2 linked regions of the Chlamydomonas reinhardtii genome follow. The protein of the gene in region 1 interacts with the protein of each later gene in a pairwise test. Links are inferred from orthologs where the notes say so. Each region holds a gene or a part of one and is shown in the gene's direction. Other genes may lie near its edges.

Region 1 (5,656 bases):
CCCAACCCCCGCATCTGGAGCCCAGCTTCCGAGTACCGTAATTCCCACCTCCACCGACCGCCCTTCTCCGCTCTGTGCCCCACCTCGTGGAAGGTGAGGAAGTGGATGGCCTGCAGGTAGAAGCCGGTCTCGGCGCAGTAGAACAGCAGCAGCCCGCGGCTGACCGGCAGGTTGCAGGGCGGGAAGCGAGTGCAGCCCAGCCACCAGTAGCGGCTGTCCGTGAACCACACCTGGGCACAGGAAAGGAGAATAGCACAAAACGCATGGGGGTGGAACAATCGTGCATGAGCGGGGTGTGTTGCTAGGTGTTCAAGAGGTTGAGACGTGTTGGCGAAGGCTTATGGACGCCTTGCTGAAGCCTGCTTGGACTGCCTCGCCTCGGGTTACCCATTGTTCCTCAAAAGCAGCCAACCTACATCATCAACCTACATCATCGCGCCTCTTTCTAAGCGTCCTCTCGGTGCCCAAGCCCTCAGACGCGACCCCTACACCAACAGTCTCGCCAACTCGCCAAGCCACGCCACCCCCATCCCCCAACCCAACCCCCACACACCGCCCCGCCAACCCGACACGCGCTCACCTCGCCCCAGCACACGACCAGCGCCAGTGTGGTGAAGGCAATGTAGATGGTCATCTTCCAGCAGCTCTCGCACCACTTGCGCATCTTGGCCTGCGCCGCCTCGTCCATGCGCTTGTCGGTCTTCTTGGGGTCACCAAAGCCCATCGCGTACCGGCCCCATGGCTGTTGCGCGTGAGGTGACAGTGAGGGTGAGGGGGAGGATTGGTGATTTGGGTTGGGCGCAGGAGAGCAGAGCTAGGTGGTGTTGTAGGGGGGGCATGGTCTGGTGGGTGTGGGACATGGCCGGGACGGGCAGGCAATACCATTTATGTTAGTTTCCCCACACTGTGCGCCACCGATGCCAGACACTCCTTAGCCCCAAGCCTATGAGCGGTGGCGAGGACTGCCGGATGCTTCGATGAGCTCTGCGACTTCTCCGTGTCCGTGTCAGAAGACAGCAGGAGAAGGAGCTCCCTTCCCCCGCGCCCCTGCCCCGCCGCCCCCTCGCTCCGGGGTCGCCACGCACCTCGTACACATACTTGCGCAGGATTGCCCGGATGAAGGGGAATGCAAACGCAAAAACCAGGCAAAGCGAGAAGTCCAGATAACGATCGCCCAGCAGGTACTCCACATCGGGCTCGGGCTCCACGTCCAACGCGGTAAGCGTCTTATTAATGAAGTTGTGCTTCGTGCCAGTTTCAAAAATCCATTTCCCAAGCGATGAAAGCTTATCAAGTTGCAGCCGGTCCGGCCGAACGCCGAGTGCGCCCGTCACCTCCATGTCAGGACCGCTTTGATCAGCCTTATACTATGGCCAGTTTATTGTACGTACAGCGACACAGCGCTTGTGTTGAGGAAAGGCTGCTGACAGTTCCCGCGCGTTGGCGCTCGTTGCAGGTCCCAAGGCTTTGTTAGTTATTTGACAGGTATCCAACGTAGTTTTATGATGTTACACTTGCAGAAGAAGTCGAAGAAAGCGTGCCGCGGGTGTCAGTGCCGCCGCAGTGCCAGCGCATGGCAGGGCGCGTCATCTCTCCCCTGAATGCCCCCGCCTTCCACAAGGGTGACCGGGCGCCATCCCGGCGACCCCATTTGGCAGTTCAATGGCTGTAAACAGCTTCAATTTGCCTCGCTGCGGTGACGGTCTCTGCCCTGCAGCCTGTGTGACACCGCCCTTCAATGCCTGCGAATGCCCGCGTAGGCGCCGATGGCCTTGCTTGTGTGCCCAGTGTTATCGGCCCTCGTGCACGCTGCCCACCATGAATATGGGCCGGGCTGCTTCATGAGGGGCTCCGGATGCCCTGCAGGCAGCCCTGCTTCAGGCTCGGCTTTCGGATGCTTGCGTGCCTTGGGGGGCCAACACTGGCACCCGCGTTGGAGAAACGCGGTGGCTCCGTGGGTGGCTTGGGTATTTCACTGAAGAGGACTGATGGCTGCGCATAGTCACAATGCTGTAGCTACATCCAAGGAATGGGATTGGGGAGCACGGCCCTATGTCCCGTTCATGAAGACCCGCTGCAAGCCGATGAGCGAAGGAGCGGTGAAGGGGCCCCAAGCCCCCAAGGTCCATGGACCATGGCGAGCCGCCATTCAACTTGGGGGCGGCAGAAGCCCGGTAGATGCAGCTGTTTTCAGGCTGTATGAGAAATGGTCTGCCTGGACGCCCTGCAGTTGGGCGGACTCGTGGGCCAGGCGCCAGAGGGGGCGCCAGGGCGTGGCGTGCCAATGCACACGTGAGGAGTCGCGCTAGTCTCCCTCCTCGCGTGCACCCGCCATTGCTGACTTTGTAACTGTAGATTGATGTATCTTAGTAAATGTAGCATGTCGGCGCCACTCGCAGGCAAAACCGACTAGCGTTCGGTGGGCGCCGTGCGCAAGTGCAGAGCTTGTTTGTAGCTTAGGCACGTCTTTAATTTGCTGCTCTTGACATTAGGGCAAAGACTCAGGTCTTTCCGCAGCGTACCGGCGAGGGGGCGACAAATCCAGCCCCCCGCAACAACCCGCAAACGGCAGGGCCTTCGCTTTGCTGCTGTGGTGTATTAACTTATCTACCAGAGTACAATTACGGGTTCACGGCTACACCGAGGCAGGAGCGCGAAACCCGGTGCAGCAGAACCCTTGCTCTTTACTCTTAGCACTTGTACCTGCTTGCGGAATGTTCTCAGCAGCTTAGCAGCAGCATCGCAAATATGATGCTGTCGGGAGTGGGTCCGGTGCCCACCAAACCGGCTTTCAAGGCCGGTGGCGACACGCTCTCGCGGCACCTGGAGGAGCTGTGCCGTTCTGGCGCATGGGAGCGGCGCCACAAGGATGGTGACAAAGCATTATTGGAGTACATCGAGGCGGAGGCTCGGGACCTGTCGGTGGAGGCTTTTGGGCGGCTAATGACCGACGTGTATCAGCGCATCGGCAACATGCTGCTCAAAGGGTGAGGGCGCCTGGCTCTCGTTTGGGGCATGGGCAGGTGGTGTCATGCGTGGCCTGCAAGAGGAGTCCTCAGGGGGCTAGCCCTGGGGCCCCGGACCCTGGAAGGGGGGTAAAGCAGCTGTGGGGAACAAGGCTGCGGGTCAGCACGCCAAACACGGACGAAGCGTTGACTTCTCCTTTGCCGGCGCTTGCACAGGAACGACATCACGCGGCGCATGGGTGGCGTGCTGGCGATTGACGAGCTTATCGATGTCAAGGTAAGTCAGCCTGCTAGGCTGCAGCAACCGGAGACGTTGCTGCGCGCAGGCACACCCGTGCGGACGTACCATTTCCTAACGGCACACCAACCACCGGATATAATGCCAACAAAGTTCTGTACATTCTTGGTCCATTGAATCATATCGTACTTAACACCTGCAGCTCTCTGGAGACGACGCTGCCAAGACGGCGCGGCTGTCGGGGCTGCTGTCGCGGGTGCTGGAGGAGAGCGAGGACCCGGTGCTCAGCGAGTCGGCCTCGCACACGCTGGGACACCTGGTGCGCAGCGGCGGCGCCATGACGTCGGACATCGTGGAGAAGGAGGTGAGGGGCGCGGCGGCGGCGATGGGGCTGCGATGCTTTCGACACATGGCGTGGGGTGGGCTTAGATGTGGAGTGACGCCTGGGAAGTGGAAGGGAGGTGCGTTCATGTGCACGCTGGGGAAAGACATGCTTACAAACTTACACGGCGCGCCCCGTGGCTGGCCCATCCCTCAACCCAGATCCGCCGCTCGCTTGCCTGGTGCGACCCCCGCAATGAGCCCAATGAGTCGCGGCGGCTGACTGCGCTGCTGGTGCTGACGGAGGCGGCGGAGTCCGCGCCCGCCGTGTTCAACGTGCACGTCAAGTCGTTCATTGACGCGGTGTGGTTCCCGCTGCGCGACGCCAAGCAGCATATCCGCGAGGCGGCGGTGCGGGCGCTCAAGGTGCGGCGCGCTGCGGGCTGGATGCAGGACGCGTGCTGGGGTTGGCAGGGCTGTCAGAATATGCGGGAATGGCTTCAGCATAATGGACGGGGCGAAGGCCATCATAGCTATGCCTGCGTTGAGTTGTGTTTTCTTGCACTGCTCGACACGCCTTCTGTACACCTGCCGCAGGCTTGCCTGTGCCTGGTGGAGAAGCGCGAGACGCGCTACCGCGTGCAGTGGTACTACAAGCTGCACGAGCAGACCATGCGCGGCATGAAGCGCGACCACCGCACCGGCGCGCTTCCCTCGCCCGAGTCCATCCACGGCTCGCTGCTGGCGCTGGCGGAGCTGCTACAGCACACCGGCGAATTCATGCTGGCGCGGTGAGTGGAGCTGCGGCTAATCCGGCTGCACTAACGCAGTGCAACCACTCCGTCCCTGCATGGACGGCTTCCGGCGTTTCAGGCCTGGGCGTCGGGGAGAAGTAGTAGGCTGCCGTGGGATAGCTCCCGGTGCCACCGATGTTACCGGCGTCCCCGGCGTGGCCCAGGGCGCAGGTGTCGCCCAGTAGTAGGTCTGGGTATGCTGCGCCTGCGGCGCTGTATGGGTCAGGGCCGGGAGCACAGAAGCCGGTTGCCGGTCCTGAATTCATGCTACCCTCCCCCGTCACCTCGCTCCCTCAGCTACAAGGAGGTTGTGGAGAACGTGTTCCGCTACAAGGACAGCAAGGAGAAAAACATCCGCCGGGCGGTCATCCACCTGCTGCCGCGCATGGCGGCCTTCTCGCCGGAGCGCTTTGCGTCGGGTGAGGGGAGGGGGGGGGGCAAGTCGGCGTGTGGTTTGGACCTGGATCAGCAGGCTTGGGATGAGGCACGGTGCGTGGGGCGGGCTGGGCCGGGTCTTGGTGCGCAGGGCTTGAGTCTGAGCTACGGGCTAGAACGCCGCTGCGCAGACGACTGAACGCACCCGCCTTGCTGTCCCCCCCTCTGCTCATGCCCTGCAACCCCCTCTGCTCATGCCCTGCTCCCCTCCTCAAACCCCACAGAGTACCTGGCTCGCGCCATTGCCTTCCTGCTGATCGTGCTGAAGAACCCGCCCGAGCGCGGCGCGGCGTTCGCGGCGCTGGCGGACATGGCGGCGGCCCTGGCGCGGGTCAACTGCGCGGCGGGTGAGGGGCGCTAGGAGATGAGGAAGAAGAGGGGAGCGAGGGGCATTGAGAGAGGAAGAAGAAACTGCAGGGGGCGGGCGTTGCTGGTGCTTGTTGGACAGGGGCCGGCAAAGGGGGGTGTTGCTGAATGGAGGTTGATAGCCGTCCACGAAACTTGGGGGATGGGGTGCGGGGTTGGTTGGCGGGGTAAAAGGGCAGGCGTAGGGGCATGGGCGGGGCGAAGGGATGCTGATGGAGGGAAGCGGGGCGATGGGACACCAAACTACGGTAGTGGCACGCTGGCACCTGTATCTGTGCCTGCACCTGCGCCTTTGTTACACCACATCGCCCAGGCCATCCGTGGGCCCGACGCCCGCGCCACCCTAACGCAACGCACGCCGGCCCTCCAGACACTCTCACGTCCAAACAATCCACAGGCTTCGAGGGCTGCCTGTCGCCCATCTACGTCGCCATCCGGGAGGCGCTGTCGGCGCCGCCCGCCGCGCGCGCCGCCGCCCGGCCGCGGCCCGCCACCTGCTACGAGGCCCTGCAGTGCGTGGGCATGCTGGCGGTGGC
Region 2 (5,740 bases), on another chromosome or scaffold:
CCTGCGGCTGTGGTCACGGCCTGGTAATCGACACGTCGCATGCGCACCCGATCCCGATCCCGTGCCATGGTATGGGACATCCAGCACCTCTCATAGTTGTCCCCAACCCGCGCCGCGCGGGGCGTGCGTGTCACATCCACACACACGCACTCCAAGGCACTGACGCCCACACCGACGCCCAACCCCAGGCGTGCTCCGCCCCTTCCTGGCGGACTGGCGGGCAAAGTCGCCCCCGGCCCCCGACCCCGCCCACCCCGACCCCGCCCCGGCTCCGGCCCCGGCCCCGGCTCCCGACCCGGCCCACCCCGGCCCCAACCACGACCCCGACGCCGCTGCTCCGGCCCCTGCCCCGGCTGCTGCTGTCGGGGGGATGCTGCTAGGCGACCCATTGGCCACTGCCATAGCGCTGGGCCTGGGCGGGTTCGGGACGGGGCCGGAGCTGGTCGCGCCGCGGCTGGGCGGGCCGGAGGATACCGGGTTTGAGTTCGGGACGGGGCCGGAGCTGGGCGCACCAGAGGCCGCCGGGGTCGGGTGCGATGGGCCAGGGCAGGGGGCGGTGCGGAGCCGCGGGGGTGCTGGGGTTGATGCCGGCGACGAGGCGGCGGCGGCGGCGGCGGGTCCCACGGCGTCGGCTGTGGTGCTGGAGTGGCGGCCGGCGCGGTGCAGCGTTGTTCTGCAAGGTGCGCCTGACAGTTATCAGCTTGATGGACCGGGCGAAAAGAGCACAATGGAGGGCAACACGCGCATGCCTGCTGCGGGTTGTGGCTCAAAGACCTGAACGGTTGTGTGCCCAACTGCGAATCCACGTCAGTAGTTACTGTCTGTCCGGCTCAACGCGCTCCTGCCCTGGTCACACACCCACACTCCCACAGGCGAGCGGCGGGGCATGAGCCTGCTGCGGCCGGTGGCGGTGGCGGGGCCGGTGGCGGTGGCGGGGCCGGTGGCGGTGGCGGTGGCGGTGGCGGGGCCGGTGGCGGTGGCGGTGGCGGTGGCGGAGGCGGCGGCAGCGGCCGCATCAACGGCGGCGGCTAGCGTGGGCGGCGGTCGGAGAGGGGAAGCAGCCGGGGCAGTGAGGAGGGAGGGGGAGGAAGGGGCGCTGGTGGCGGTGGCGAGCCGTCTGGATGTGGGGGCGGTGACACGGTTGGTGTTGGCGGCGGCGGGCGTGGAGTGACGACGCAGGAGGCTGGGATTGGAGGGCACGGTACCCATGGCAGCGTTTGTGTGGTGGCTTCTGGACGGAGGGGAAGGGGGCTGTGCTCATGAGGCATGAGGACAAAGCAACAAGAGAACACGTGGCAAAGGCAGGAGCTGAGGAGCCTCAGGGGGCGGGGCAGCTGACGGCGGGTCGGCTGGGCAGTCCAGAGAGGTGCTGTCAGTGGTGTGTGGGCGCTGTGTGCTTTCCGTGATTGCGGCACGCCGGAAGCCGGCAACATGAGTACATGCGTATTGCGTAATGCGGTACGAAGTACCAAATCCAGGCATGTCACTGCCCCGAGAGACCTGTCGTCATCGCCGCCGCCGCTGCCACGCCCGCTGCCCTGCACTGCTCGTGCCTCTTCCTTCTTGACAGAGAGCCACGCACCGTGTGCAGGGGGGGGGGCGCCCTTTTAGCCTCGTGGCCTCGTGGTTGTATGGGGCGACGCTTGGAGCCCTCGGCGTTCGGGGTCCCTGGGCCGGGGATTGTAGGGACCCCCACATCGGGTCACCAGCAGTGGCGGGTGGGCGGACACAGCAGGCCTTCCTCGCTGTTCCTCGCAGCCTCGCTGTTCCTCCTGCAGGCGGCGCTGTTGCGACGGGAGGAAATGACGAAGGTGGTGCAAGCATAAGTAGCACGGCCGGGGCATAGGAATGCTGGCGGCAGCGCTCGCAGAACAACGAGTCGCGCCGCAGTGGGCCACAGCGCAGCAGATGATGAAGTCAGACCTGGGGCCAACGCACGCGGCGAAGGCAGCGGCGAAGGCAGCCGAACGCGCAGCCGAACGCCCAGCCGGGCTGGCGGGCTGCGAGGTGCAGCGGAGAGCGAAGATAACAGCAGCTGCAGTGGAGTGTCGTCCTCGCGCTGCTTACTGTGCTGAGGGTGGCAGGGGTGTGGTGGGGGCGATGGAGGTTGCCACCGGGCAGGCGCAGGGGAGGCGTGCCACCGTGCCAGGACGACCTTGGTGCATTTAACACGCACATAATTGAATTAACTAGCAGTGGTTTCTGTGCAGTCTGTAGCAGCCCAGGGCTCAGGGAGCAGACAGACCATCATTCCGCGCGCGCTGCATCGCAGCCCCTCCACCAGAAGCCGCTTCCCCTGAACCGGCACCCGTCCTTTCCTACTTGTTAGGATACATTTGCGGCAAAGTCCGCACTTGCATTTATCACAACAGTCTCTTTTCGCGCCGCCGACTAGATCGAAAAATGGTAGGACGTTTCGCTCTTCCCCTCGGCGCTGCCTTTTGCTGATCTGGAGTTTCTTTTTCTCTGCAGTCTAAGTTCTGGGGCCGCGGCGAGAGCGAGGATGAGGAGGAGGAGACCACTGAGGAGGAGAGCAGCGAGGAGGAGGGCAAGAGCTCCTCCTCCGGCGACAGCTCCTCGTCGGACTCTGACAGCGACTCGGACTCTGACTCCGACTCGGACTCGGACTCCGACTCCGACGACGACGGGCCCAACAAGTGAGCACATCGCAGCCGCCGAGGTGCCCTGCGCGTGCATCGCCCAGCGCTCACCGTTTTTGTGTTTATGCTATGATTTCAGGTTCTTGGCTGGGTCCAGCGACTCGGATTCGGACAATGATCGCCGCGTGGTGAAGAGCGAGAAGGACAAGCGCATGGGCGAGCTCGCGCAAACCGCTGAGGACATCCGGGTGAGGCCTGGAGCTTCGACTGGAAATGTGCAGAGCGATGGGGTGGCCACGGGGCGCCGGGGAACGATCGACGGTGTGGCGGGAGAGATGCGGCAAGGCTTTTTTGCGCGAAAACCGGCGTTCTGAGCGTCTATCACGCTGCGGCTGCATTCCTATTGTGTATTTACAGAACAAGATGAAGATCAACGACTGGAGCGCTATCCAGGAGCTGTTCGACACGCTGAACGCGCGCCTTGACAAGACGCGCAAGTTCCTGTCTGGGCCGATGCTGCCGCGCGTGTACCTGAAGCTGCTGGTTGACCTGGAGGATTACCTGAATGATACTCTGGCGAACAAGGAGCTGGTGAAGAAGAAGATGTCGTCCACGAACGCGAAGGCGCTGAACACCATGAAGCAGCGCCTGAAGAAGCACAACACGCCCCTGCTGGAGCAGCTCAACAAGGTCGGCCGGGGGTCAGCAATGGAAAGATAGGGGGGAAGCGCACGCAGAGCGGCAGCGGGCTGCGGGGGTCCGGGCCACCGTGTGCGGGAGGAGGATGCGTGCCTCAGACTCTGCAACACCCCATTAAATGCTGCGAAACGCCTGCGCATGCCACAGGTCCGCGAGAACCCCGACGAGGAGGACGAGGTGTCGGAGGCGGACAGCAGCAGCAGCGAGAGCGGCAGCGACGACGAGCGCGACGCCGAGGAGCGCAAGCAGGTGCGCTTGCATTTGTGTTTCGTGTACCGTGTGTCTGCCTGGACATGTGCTGCCAACTGCTACTCTGTTCGTCACTGCCATCGTCTGACTAACCATATGCCTGGAACCCTTCCCCCCGCTACTGCTAACCCCCACGCGCTCCCCCTCCATACGCAACCCTGGCCTTCCATAACAATAGGGCGCCCTGGCCGCCAAGGCCAAGGACAAGCTGCTGACCATGGACCCCAAGGAGATCACCTACGAGATGGTGGCGCGCAAGATGAGGGAGATCGTCATGGCCAGGTAGAGGAGGCGGACGGGGGAGGGCGGGCTGGGCGGAGGAGGGGGAGGGCGTAGGCGGGACGGGGAACGGCGGCACGTACGGGCTGGCAGAGACGTGGAGCTCCGAGATTGGTGGCAACGCTGGGATCCCATCAGCTGACGGCGAAGGAGCGCGGAGAGCTACCCGCTTGCACAGCAGCAGCGGCAGCGGGAGCTGCGTCAGCGGCAGCGGCAGCAGCAACGGCAGCAATGGCGCCAGCAGCAGCAGCAGCAACAGCAGCGACGGTATTGCCGCATTGTGTGACTGCAAGCTGAGGGCGGGCTCTACTGCGACGCGGCTCGCGGAGGGGGCTTTGGCCAGGGGTTATGGCTGGGGGTTACGGAGGCGCCCGATTGCCACCGTGGCTGTGTGCTGCGGCTGTGGCGGCGCCGCTGCCAGGCAGCGGCGGGCGGCGCCGCGCTGGCGGCAGGAGGGACTTGGGGGGCGGGAGAGCACCGGGCGCACCAGCGGCGGCAGTGGCGCGGCTGGCACGGCGGCGTATGGCTTGGCGTGGGCTGGCGCGCTGGCATGCCCGCCTGCGCGGCAAGGTGCGCTACGGTGCAGCAGCAGCTGTTGCTGCTACGGCCTGGCCCTCCGCCACAGCGGCTGCGGCGGCGCCTCCACCTACAGTGCCGGGAGGAAGGGAGGGAGGTGCTGGACTGCAAGCCGCCGCCTGCAGCGCCGCCGCCTCCGCAGCCGCCGCCACAGCAGCAGCAGACAGGCAGGGGCACTGCATGGCGGCGCTGGAGTAGCAGTGGACGCACTGGACAAGGAGCCAGGCGCAGCTGCAGGGGGGCGGGGCAGGCCCGGCCGCTCCCGCCGCACAGTCCGTCGGTCCAGCGGGAAGAGGGGGGCGGGCATTTATGGAGGAGGCGGGCGGCTCCCCTGGCGCGCGGCTCGGCACGCGGCGGCGTCGCGGCGGCGTCGCGGCGGCGTCGCGGCAGCGGCGACTGCCGGCTGCAGCGTTGCTGGCAGTGCTGGCAGTGACAGAGGGGGGCGGCGGCAGCTGTTGCGGACACGTTCCCTGCAGCAGCAGTAACATCAGCAGCAGGGATAGCAGTAGCAGTTGCAGCAGTCGAAGCGCGGTCGGCGGCTGGCAGCGTCGCTGGCGCGTGTGCCGTGGCTTTCTCGCGGCGGTCTGGGCGGCGCGGCGCTGGTTCCGGCTGTGCTGACGTACCGGCCTGTTCACAGCGGGCACCCGTGGCACTCATCACGCACTCGTCACACATCCCCGCCACATCCCCCCACTTCCTTAACTAATCATGAATGTAACCCCACACACACACCAACGCACGCACCTTGTTCCTACCCCACCTCAGGGGCCGCCGCGGCACCGACAAGCAGGAGGCGGTGGAGATGCTGACCTACCTGGCCACCGTGGCGCGCGGCGCGGCGCAGAAGTTCGAGGTGAGGGTGGTGAAAGCGAATGGGAGGAGTGGAGGGAGGAGGGCATGTGGTTGCCGTTTGTTTGTTATGTGGTTTTAATGGGGCCCAGTTGCAAGGCGTGGCGCTTTGAGGGGTGGCAGGGGGGTGGGTTGGAAAGCAGGGCGCCGCCTTGCATAAACGACTCCTGCCACTGCCACCATCCGCTCCCTCCCCCCTATTATGCTACTTACCTACCCCGCCCCACTCACCCAACCACCCCCTGCCCGCTCCGCTCCCCACCCGCTCCCCTCCCCCTACGTCCCCAGGTCCTGGCGCAGCTGAACGCCAGCCTGTTCGACCTGAACCCGGGCATGCACGGCCACCTGCCCACCGCCACGTGGCGCAAGGCTGTGGTCAACCTGCTGGAGATGCTGCGCATCCTGCAGGTGGGGGGGCGTGGGGGGCAGAGAGAGGGGGTGGAAATGAGGGGTGGTGGGGTTGGGAGAGGGTGGCAGAGAAAGGGCTG

The links.
Region 2: the proteins of CHLRE_09g400553v5 (region 1) and CHLRE_04g217550v5 interact in binary tests that used the Arabidopsis thaliana proteins (3 or more experiments, as listed by UniProt). The link is inferred for Chlamydomonas reinhardtii from reciprocal best matches to the Arabidopsis thaliana genes TOR and EIF3C.

What each region holds. Positions count from the first base shown.
Region 1 is NC_057012.1:5,518,379-5,524,034, forward strand, and holds the start of CHLRE_09g400553v5 (uncharacterized protein), read left to right. Parts: upstream 1-2,364; 5' UTR 2,365-2,748; coding exon 2,749-2,987; intron 2,988-3,182; coding exon 3,183-3,243; intron 3,244-3,406; coding exon 3,407-3,568; intron 3,569-3,747; coding exon 3,748-3,951; intron 3,952-4,122; coding exon 4,123-4,316; intron 4,317-4,616; coding exon 4,617-4,738; intron 4,739-4,978; coding exon 4,979-5,101; intron 5,102-5,490; coding exon 5,491-5,656. Other genes in the region: CHLRE_09g400516v5 (uncharacterized protein), read right to left, coding at 84-230, 581-742, 1,086-1,340. UniProt on the Arabidopsis thaliana protein: Essential cell growth regulator that controls development from early embryo to seed production. Controls plant growth in environmental stress conditions. Acts through the phosphorylation of downstream effectors that are recruited by the binding partner RAPTOR.
Region 2 is NC_057007.1:242,945-248,684, forward strand, and holds the start of CHLRE_04g217550v5 (uncharacterized protein), read left to right. Parts: upstream 1-2,206; 5' UTR 2,207-2,403; coding exon 2,404-2,406; intron 2,407-2,472; coding exon 2,473-2,657; intron 2,658-2,739; coding exon 2,740-2,848; intron 2,849-3,017; coding exon 3,018-3,290; intron 3,291-3,446; coding exon 3,447-3,548; intron 3,549-3,726; coding exon 3,727-3,830; intron 3,831-5,168; coding exon 5,169-5,256; intron 5,257-5,540; coding exon 5,541-5,660; intron 5,661-5,740. Other genes in the region: CHLRE_04g217500v5 (uncharacterized protein), read left to right, coding at 189-680, 873-1,171. UniProt on the Arabidopsis thaliana protein: Component of the eukaryotic translation initiation factor 3 (eIF-3) complex, which is involved in protein synthesis of a specialized repertoire of mRNAs and, together with other initiation factors, stimulates binding of mRNA and methionyl-tRNAi to the 40S ribosome.